Bombyx mori: one gene and its partner. The protein of the gene in region 2 interacts with the protein of the main gene of each other region in a pairwise test. Links are inferred from orthologs where the notes say so. Each region holds a gene or a part of one and is shown on either strand. Other genes may lie near its edges.

Region 1 (4,786 bases), on a different chromosome or scaffold from region 2:
CATTTCAGTAAAATTCCTTTCGCATGTCAGTGATGAAAACTGTATCTAACAAAATATGTATAACTAACTTACTGGTCAGTGATATTTTTTTAGATACAACTTTATTCCAAATCACTGTAGTTGATAAGAAAGATACTTTATTTGAAACATACGAAACATAATTTAATTTAAAAACGAATAAGTAAATATTATTTTTTAAATTAATTATTTAATTTAATATTATTTACGATCTCTTCCAGAAGGCCGTTTACGCAGAGATTTTTTCAAACAAAACGCAGCTATGTAAAAATTACCATTTCAAAATTTCCTCACTTCATTCATCAGACGACCTGGCTACCATTGACCAGAAAACCGTTTCGATGTTTACGTAAAACAACATTTAAGACTTACTTTTCCATTTTCCTTTTGAAAGTCGCAGCCACGGTTGTTGTAGGGTGAGTGATCGAAGACAAGCTGAAGGTTTGTGCCGGTACCGGTAAACGCTATCTCCGTGTGTCCCTCGCGGCAACCGCTCATGAATCGCATCTGGCGTTCTTCGGGAGGCCGGTCTCGGTATCCAGTGTATCTAACCTGCCAACAAATATATCATCCCATAAATATACTGTTTATCTTGCGTATCAAAGCATTTTGAAAATCTATTTACATAAACATCATCTAGTGCGTAGTGCGCTAAAAAATAAATATTCACAATATGGACAGTAAGAGGAGTGCATTATACTATTGATATTTATAAATATATTCCTTCTTCAATTCGGTTAGTACACCGTGGATAATTTCTTTTAGGCTATTCTTGTCTACTTGATGATCGCTCTTGTAAATGCTTACTCGTTTTGATTTACAACAGAAGGTTTGCGAATCATTAAAAAAGTTATGAAATTCCTTCAGACAAGTTTGTGCAACAGAATGTGCAGCAGATTTTTTATTGCACGTGAAATAAGTAAACCTACTTATAATGATTATTTATTATTTCATTGTATTAGTCATTTATTTCCTATTTGGTCAATTAATTACTAAAGTTTATAGTAAATTTAAATAAAGCTTGAATAAATTAAATTCGAGCTATTAAAGATAAATCGTTAAATTGATTTGAATAAAATTTAATGCTGTGTTCATTTGCTGGTTTTTTTTAAATTCCTACCTAAGCCGAGCCTTGAGAGGCTATTTCAGCGTAACCTTAGCTAGTAGGTGAGCTCACGGGGTCAAACCGGAGTGATGCTTACACTGACCCTAGCAAGAGCAGTTCTTCGCAGAATCTACCACCGGATCGAAAACGCGACCCTCTGAGAAGGTTCGGCGAGAAACTCAGTGGGCTGTATCTATGATTTGGGATCATTCGACGAGTATAGGTTTCCTTTCCGTATGCTATTTAGTTTTATCCTAGGCTATTCCTCAGGTATTTCCAATAACTATTTACATGTATGTCTTTTTTTTTTATTGCTTAGATGGCTGGACGAGCTCACAGCCCACCTGGTGTTAAGTGGTTACTACACTAAGTGGTGGTATCTACAACGCAAATACGCCACCCACCTTGAGACATAAGTTCTAAGGTCTCAGTATAGTTACGACGGCTGCCCCACCCTTCAAACCGAAACGCATCACTGCTTCACGGCAGAAATAGGCAGGGCGGTGGTACCTATCCGTGCGGACTCACAAAAGGTCCCTACCACCGGTAATAAGTGTTTTCGTACTCGTCTGTTAATTTTCATAGATATGCCCTAAACATGGTTACAATGAATTATTTTACTGCTATTTATTCGTGCGATGTGGATTGAGCCGCTTAGATGTATGTACATACATACGTTCAAGTTTCTAACGATAACCCAGAACATCATTAACCTGTTTCCTAATTGTTATTTCCGCATATCGCTTTTGTATTTATTTATTTTTTTCCTCTTTTTTTTTCCTACCTATGCTGATAGTATTGAGAGGCTATTTCAGCTTCACCCTGACGTGTGTAGGTGAGCTCACGGGGCTCAAACCGGAGTGTTGCTAACACTGACCCTAGCAAGAGTAGTGCTTCGCAGAATCTACCACCGGATCGGAAACGCGACCCACTGAGAAGATCCGGCGAGAAACTCAGTGGGCTAATATCGCTTTGAAGTCTCATATTAAGTATACCTACTCCTTTTCATATCTTTCTGACTTGTTTTTTTTCTTCTTTTTGTGGGTGTATTGTAAATTCACAGCGAAATCCATGAATTCCATAAGATAAACATGAATTTATGATTTCTCTTTTAGTTAGATATGAAAGTTAGCATGCAGATTCAGTATTTAGGTCGGGTATGTACATAGTAATGCGTTTATTTTAATCAAAATTAAGTTCAGTAAATGATAATTGATAAGATAAGATAATAAGAAATAAATGAAATATGTTTGAAACTATTTTATGTTTCAATCAAAGAACCTTCTACTCGGTCAAACTTCGTACATTCTGATCGAAAAAGGTTTAAATCATCCTATCGTCAATTGTTCCTTGTAATAACATGTTATATGGAATTAAAAAATTAATAAAATTAAGAATTACAAATGTTTTAAATAAGTATTAGTGAATTTTCAATTTTTTTGTTATTATATTTATCATGTAGAACTAACTACTACTATAAGTTAAAGTATTTTACGCTAATTATTTGTCGATGACTAATATAACATTATACAAATGCATTATTTTCCTGTTTGTTTAAAGCATGGCTTAGCAATCGGACCATTAAAATTTAAAAACGAATACTCAATTCACTTTGCATACAATTGTTAAAGTTGGCATTTATAAAAACTCACCTCACTTTCTCTGCTAAGTCTTTTGAAGAGATCGTCTGATTCGAATTTGGCTTTTTGATCGGGCACTACACGTGGCATTTTGAAAATGAACCTTGGCTTTGGCTGCTCGTAGATAGAGTCAAAAGGCAACATGCCGGCCAACGGCGAAGGATCACTCATAGCGTGCATAACCTACGGCTCCTATAGCTTTGCTTGCACGGAACCAAACATCACTTAGCGCGCGTGCCTCACTGACTCAGCGTTACGAATGACTCAAATAATACGAATTGACGTACGTACTACGACACGACCACCTGCCTCCGTGACATTCCGGTACTGAATGAAATCTCATACCATGCTCTAGGGGAGAATTTTCATTAGGGCGGAGACTTAGCGTGGTGGGGAAGTGTGGAGCCAATACCCGTGCCCGAACGAAACGCCCGACGCCTTCTCTCAACGCTTTCGGGAGCTTTCGAGCGAAAAGAGGGTTTTCCCCTAACGAAACTGTTGAAAATAAATACTGTAAACGACAAAGCACATGAATTTATAATGATGGGCATTATCCTTTTTGGAAGTTTCGAGTGTTTTATATACTTGTATCGATGCTTTTGTTCCTTTGTAGCGAGATAAATGTATGTTATATACGACCGATTTATCAAGGGGTAGTCAAGCCAGGATGTCATACAGTGAAATGTGATATTTTTGTATGCTATTATACTTATTTTATAGGGCTACTTAAATTATTATTCTTGATTTCGATCCACGATAAAGCTAACAAGGATTTTCGTAACGCCATTATTCATGAATCAAATGTCAGTCTTTACCCTTACTCGATCTGTAAAGTACAATTTTAAAATGTTGTCACGTTAGCTTTCAATAATAATTAAAGAAAATATAAAAATAATATTTTTTCTACATATTTTATCTAACTAATCGTAATTAAAAAGTTTTCGAAGAGATTAGAAAACAAAATCAATGTGAAACATCTCAATCGGACGAATTTAAGTACTTCCATAATTTTTTTTAAAATACAATAGGCGGCACACATCCTGTGAAATGTATAAAGTGCACTTAAACTTATCTCTTGGTAAGTGTTTGCCGATAACTATCAGTTGTCGTCTTCTATTGTTAACAATACATCTTCGCAATAAGGCTGTCTCATACAGTAGAATATAGGTATGTACACTACTATTAAAACATTAACTATTCGAAATAATTTATTTGAATCTATCTAAGCTTAGTATTATAGAATTAGAGAGTGCTTTGGTTAACTATACTTGAGTCCAATTAATTTTCTTAGTCCGTTTTTCATTGATTGTTAAATTCTTTTCAAGTTATCCAAAAGGATAAGATGCCCGATGTACTCTTATCAAACGATGACATAATCAGGTCAGTGTTCATGGCAAATGCCTGCAGTGGCAGGCAGTACCAATTTTTTTAAACCAATTTACCTTTTTTTTAATAACATACGCATCACATCAGTGTTCAAGAACTACTTCCACCAACAAATAACAACATCGTGTAATAAAATGAAGCGGCGAAATTTTTGGTGGTGAGGCGTATATTATTTAAATCCACACCCATAAGTACCGCCGCCGTCTTGCTTATTTCAGCCGAAAAGCAGTCATGGGTTTCCGTTTGAAGAGAAACGTTTTACAATGGTACTTACTGGTGGTAGGACCTCTTGTGTGTCCGCGCGGGTAGGTACCACCACCCTGCTTATTTCTCCCGTGAAGCAGTAATGCGTTTCGATTTGAAGGGTGGGGCAGCCGTTGTAACTATACTGAGACCTTAGAACTGATATCTCAAAGTGGGTGGCGCATTTACATTGTAGATGTCTATGGGCTTCAGTAACCACTTAACACCAGGTGGGCTGTGAGCTCGTCTACCCATATAAGCAATAAAAAAAAAACTAATACAATTGAGACCTCAACTTCAAAGTAAGTTTGCTGGTTTATCGCCTATGTCAATATAAAAAAATGTATCACGCAAAAACTACCGTGGCCGAAATAAGTGTGAAAATTTTACTATT
Region 2 (4,765 bases):
ATATGTGGGACTGGACGGTCCGCATATGTTTGGAGCGGACATGGGGTCCAGAACGCAGTCACAATAGGCAGTGTAACGCACTATCCAAATTAGAGCTGGCTAACAAGTTTCCACACCATCAGTGCTAATATTTCAGATTAGTTTTAATCGTATGCTCAGCAAGCGCCAGTGCGAACGTATCTGTATTTAGACTTCAGTACATCGATGTCAAGTGTTTTAGGATTGTTTTAAACGCGTGAAAACGAAAATAAAACTAGTTTGAATGTGGTCGAATGCCGCGGCGCCGCAAAACCGACCTCGGACCGTGGACTGGCGCCCGGCCAGAGTGAAACGTCACATCACTTTGACACGATTATAAGATATATATATTTTTTATGTTTTTTTTTTTTGTGTTATTTATGTAAGCAGCACCGATAAATTTCAATGTTAATTAAACAATGAAATGATTGATGTTAGAAAAATTGCAATATTGTTTTTTTTTTTTTTTTTTTCGAAACTTATTAGCTTCGGATTGTTATCGTTTATCTATGGAATGATTTTTGCTTTTAGAAAAATTTTCTGTTACAAATAAAATATTCGGATAGTTCAATAGAATGTACCTTTTGGTATTCAAATACAGATTATCCTGTGTTTTCTAGTGTTTTCACGTAGTTTTTTCCGCGTAGATCTTACTTACATTAAGCGTGTTTTTTTCTTTATTTCTAATTGTTCGAATACTCTATAGCTTACACGGGGTTCAATATCAAAATCATAGATTAACTTGGTGATTACTTTTTTTTTTAATTTATGTATTTGTAGATTTATAAATCGTGATCTATGCGTTCCCGCGTTTTTTATAACCAATGTAGTTGTAAATACATACGAGTTTAATTGCGAATATAATCTGACGGATCATCGGTTGAACCAACGGGTGTGTTTAGAAGTATAGTCAAAACTAAATTAATCTTTATTTTTTGCGACTAATGGTTAATCTCCAGTAGTGACTTTTTGAGAAACGGAGGGTTTTTTTTTAAGTTTACTGTCAAAGAATTTACATTTCACCGTTTTATGGCTACTGTTTTTGGAAGAATATTTTGTTAAAAAACTTTTGAATAACATACCATGGAATGTGTTAGGCAAGAAAAATGTGTTTCTATAATAGTATAGTAGTAAGTATATTTTTCCTGTCCATGTAACAAACTGATAATAAATTTCAAAATTGGATTTGTTAATTTTCAACTAAAATGTATTTGTCTTTTTGTCTAGTAACTATTGAGTTATTTTATTATTAATAAATGTTAAGACTGTGTTCGGTTGTTATTGAAAAAATATGGAAAATAGACTCGGACGAACTACTATATATTTTTTTTAATTGCTTAGATGTGTGGGCGAGCACATAGCCCACCTGGTGTTAAGTGGTTACTGGAGCCCATAGACATCTACAACGTAAATGCGCCATCCACCTTGAGATATAAGTTCTAAGGTCTCAGTATAGTTACAACGGCTAGCCCACCCTTCAAACCGAAACGCATTGCTGCTTCACGGCAGAAATAGGCGGGGTGGTGGTACCTACCCGTGCGAACTCACAAGAGGTCCTACCACCAGTAAAACACTTCCTCATCATATTCTACTGTGGTAGTAGAAATATACTTAAATTACTTTCCTAGAACATTAGCCGAAAGTTAGCTAGGATGTTCTTATTGTCTACTGTCTAATTCTGTTGCATATTTCGATCGAAAAGCCGTCATTGCAATCCAATTGAGACCTTGACCTAATTGCTCAAGGTGAGCAATAGTATCCACCGTATGACGCCTAAGTTACGATGGACTCGTAACATCAAATAAATCGCAAACCTACCAGTCTCAACTGCTAAATAAATAGATTGTCGCATAATCTTTTGAGTAAGGTTTAGTATTTTTAAATTTAGTACACAAACCCCAAATCATTTATTAGCAACGGCATTTTATAAGTATCTATCTAATTGCCTCTGAAACCACAGTATTGATATCTAGTATACAGTCGTATATAGTGTATAGTATATAGTGTTATAATCAATTAGTTATGGATTTAATATTTGCCCGTTGATCGTTGTACAGTACTTATAAAGTTATATATTTTATATAGTTGATTTCGTACACATTTTCAAATATATTATTAATTGTAATATTCATTTATATCTTTTTTTTGCTTAAAAGTGTGTACGAGCTTACGTTCAGTTTGATGATAAGTGGTTGTCGGAGTCATAGACATCACTACAGGATTGCTGGCACTCGCTTTGACATATCAAATCGAAGTCTTAGTTGTATTGCGGTTGTTCTGAGCTTCGCGGCAGATATAGACAAAGTTTGGTGGTACATATTATTATATACGCACAAAATATATGAAACATTACAGATATAGTAACTTACTTTGTTTTGTTCTCGGCTCCCTTGGTCCATCGACCGTTACTTTGATTGCTTTGGTGTAGGTGGCGACTTGTGAAGGAAATGAGCTGATGGTGATGGTGAGGGTGAAGGACTTGCCTCGTCCGCTCCGACCGACAAACCTCAGGTCGTTGAACTTTGCCACTTGGTTCTTCATCACCGCGGTACAGTTCCTGAGTTCGGCCATCACGTTCTCGTCGTTTCCAGCCTTTATCGTAACTAGAGTGCCGTCTTGAACGTCATCTAGTGCCACTACTTTAAAAGCCAACGGTAATGATTTATTCGACCTCCAATGGCCAGGTAACGCAGAGCACAAGACAGCCGGAGAACCAGTCTGTACTAACTCTCCGTGACTCTGCCGGTAGTACTCGTGGATATGAGCGTAAACGTCTGCCATCCTGACGGCAGGACTCGCGTGCGGGAGGTGCATCGACTTCAAACTACCCCCGAACACTTCTCTGACACGCCACTGAGGTCTGAACACTTCGATTAAAGTTTTAAAAACACGCGACCGAAGTTCGAACTCGCGGCGACCGTTGCGTGCGCGGGGAGCACTCGGAAAAGTTGTGTAAAGTGCGAGCGCGAGACGTCGTGTGAGCTGCGAGTCACCGTCTACAGTCTACACCACTTGTTGGGCGCGGACGGCAAGACGCCGGGCGGGGGACTCGGAAAAATAAACGGGCGGTCGCGCGACCGCAAGCCGAAGACTCACGACGCGCTCCGAAGTAGCGGCCAAGGGACGCGTGCCGCGGGAACTCGGTTTCGACTGATGACTGTGATACGACGCGACTTTTTCCGATGGTCAATATTTTGCGTTCGCGCGGTCGCCGCCCCCACCCGGGTGGCGGCCCCTACGTCTCGTAAAAAGCGGGAAGGAGACGAAGGGTGCGGGTGATGCGGTCCCGCGGCGGGAACGAGCGGGACGGCCGCGGTTGATCTCTGCGTTTTTATAAAAATTCTCGTTCGAGCGGGACGCCGTCGCACGTCGCCCGCCTGCGAGAGAGGGATGGGTGGATTTTTTTGAATCAACGCGGTGACGTATCGTAAAGTGACGGTAATTAGGCCGCGGGGCGGCGGGAAACCGCGACCGGTGCGAAAACCTATCAACGAGCTCATGAAAAATTATGATTTTCATGTTTTGAGTCGACAAAAGTATTGGAGAGGTGCCGCACTCATGGGGAGGCACTTCATTTTCATTGAAGCACGTGAAGAATTTCAATGGCACGGCTATCCAACGACACCCGTCGAATTTTTTGAGTTGATTAATTATGTCTGCATCGCCAAATTATACGAAAAAAAAGGAATAGAATTACTCATCATTATTTATAAAAAAATCATGCTACTCAAATATGCACTACAGATATAAATTATAATGTTTGTATATGAGATAAACAGGCTTAATTTTATTTCCTAGAAAACGAAAAAAAAAACACAACATTCTGGATATTATTACTTATAAATAATTTAGATTTATGTGATTTTTATATTATTAATATTTCATTCGACCAACTCGATTGTCTACCCGATGCTTGATTGTAAATTAGTTATTGAGATTCTAATTCAAGTTTTCAACCGAAAAGCTACGTGTTCTCAATTACGAAAATTCGTATTTCGGCTCCAATCAAAAATAAGGAGCTAAACAAAGAGTGATAGATTGAGAAAGCCACGTCCGCGTGTGGTTAGCCGCGAGTTGGCGTGCGAAGGAGTCAGTGCGCTGTGCGAACAGAACAGCCGGAGTATGGGGCGGGGCGACAGGCGGTGCGAGCTCGCCAACTTTCCAAACAGTTTCCCGCGCTTTTCACGCGCGGCATGTCTTACGTCACGCGTTCGAATTTCGAACTTGTTTAAATTTTGACAATAAAACTTTTTTGAGAACATAGGTAATTGTTTTTTTATTTTAGTTCTTCGTGTTATCTATGTAATTAAAGTATATTCACGATGTGAATGTATTATAAAGAGTTTGTAGTTCGAATCAAAATGCGAAATTTGAGAATCCACGGTCTACCTATATGTTACTAGTAAACCTTTTCAGTACTAATTATAATCATTCCAAAAGAGAATTTACGACTTCAAGGCCAAAAATGAAACTTGTATTTGAATATGCAATTTCGAAAAGGCACATGTCGCATATTTTGTCAAATACGTTTTTTCATATACATGTAGTTTTGAGGCTTACCTACACCCATTTTATAATAATTCTAGTAATCTTCAATTGCTAATTAATACTAAAACTATATCTCAAAAGTTAATATTTTAAATTTTACACTGCTTTAGAAAATAATCAGTTTTTTTCATTTCCTGAACATTTTACATTTTCAGAGATGTGCCCTTTTCGAAATTGCATATTCAAATAGGTTAGATAG

The links.
Region 1: the proteins of Run (region 2) and protein big brother interact in a two-hybrid assay, tested with the Drosophila melanogaster proteins (2 studies listed by BioGRID). The link is inferred for Bombyx mori from reciprocal best matches to the Drosophila melanogaster genes run and Bgb.

Annotation. Positions count from the first base shown.
Region 1 is NC_085110.1:9,019,438-9,024,223, reverse strand, and holds the start of protein big brother, read right to left. Parts: upstream 3,205-4,786; 5' UTR 2,944-3,204; coding exon 2,776-2,943; intron 571-2,775; coding exon 391-570; intron 1-390. UniProt on the Drosophila melanogaster protein: Regulates the DNA-binding properties of Runt.
Region 2 is NC_085109.1:9,753,682-9,758,446, reverse strand, and holds the start of Run (runt), read right to left. Parts: upstream 3,174-4,765; 5' UTR 2,833-3,173; coding exon 2,388-2,832; intron 1-2,387. UniProt on the Drosophila melanogaster protein: Plays a pivotal role in regulating the expression of other pair-rule genes such as eve, ftz, and h.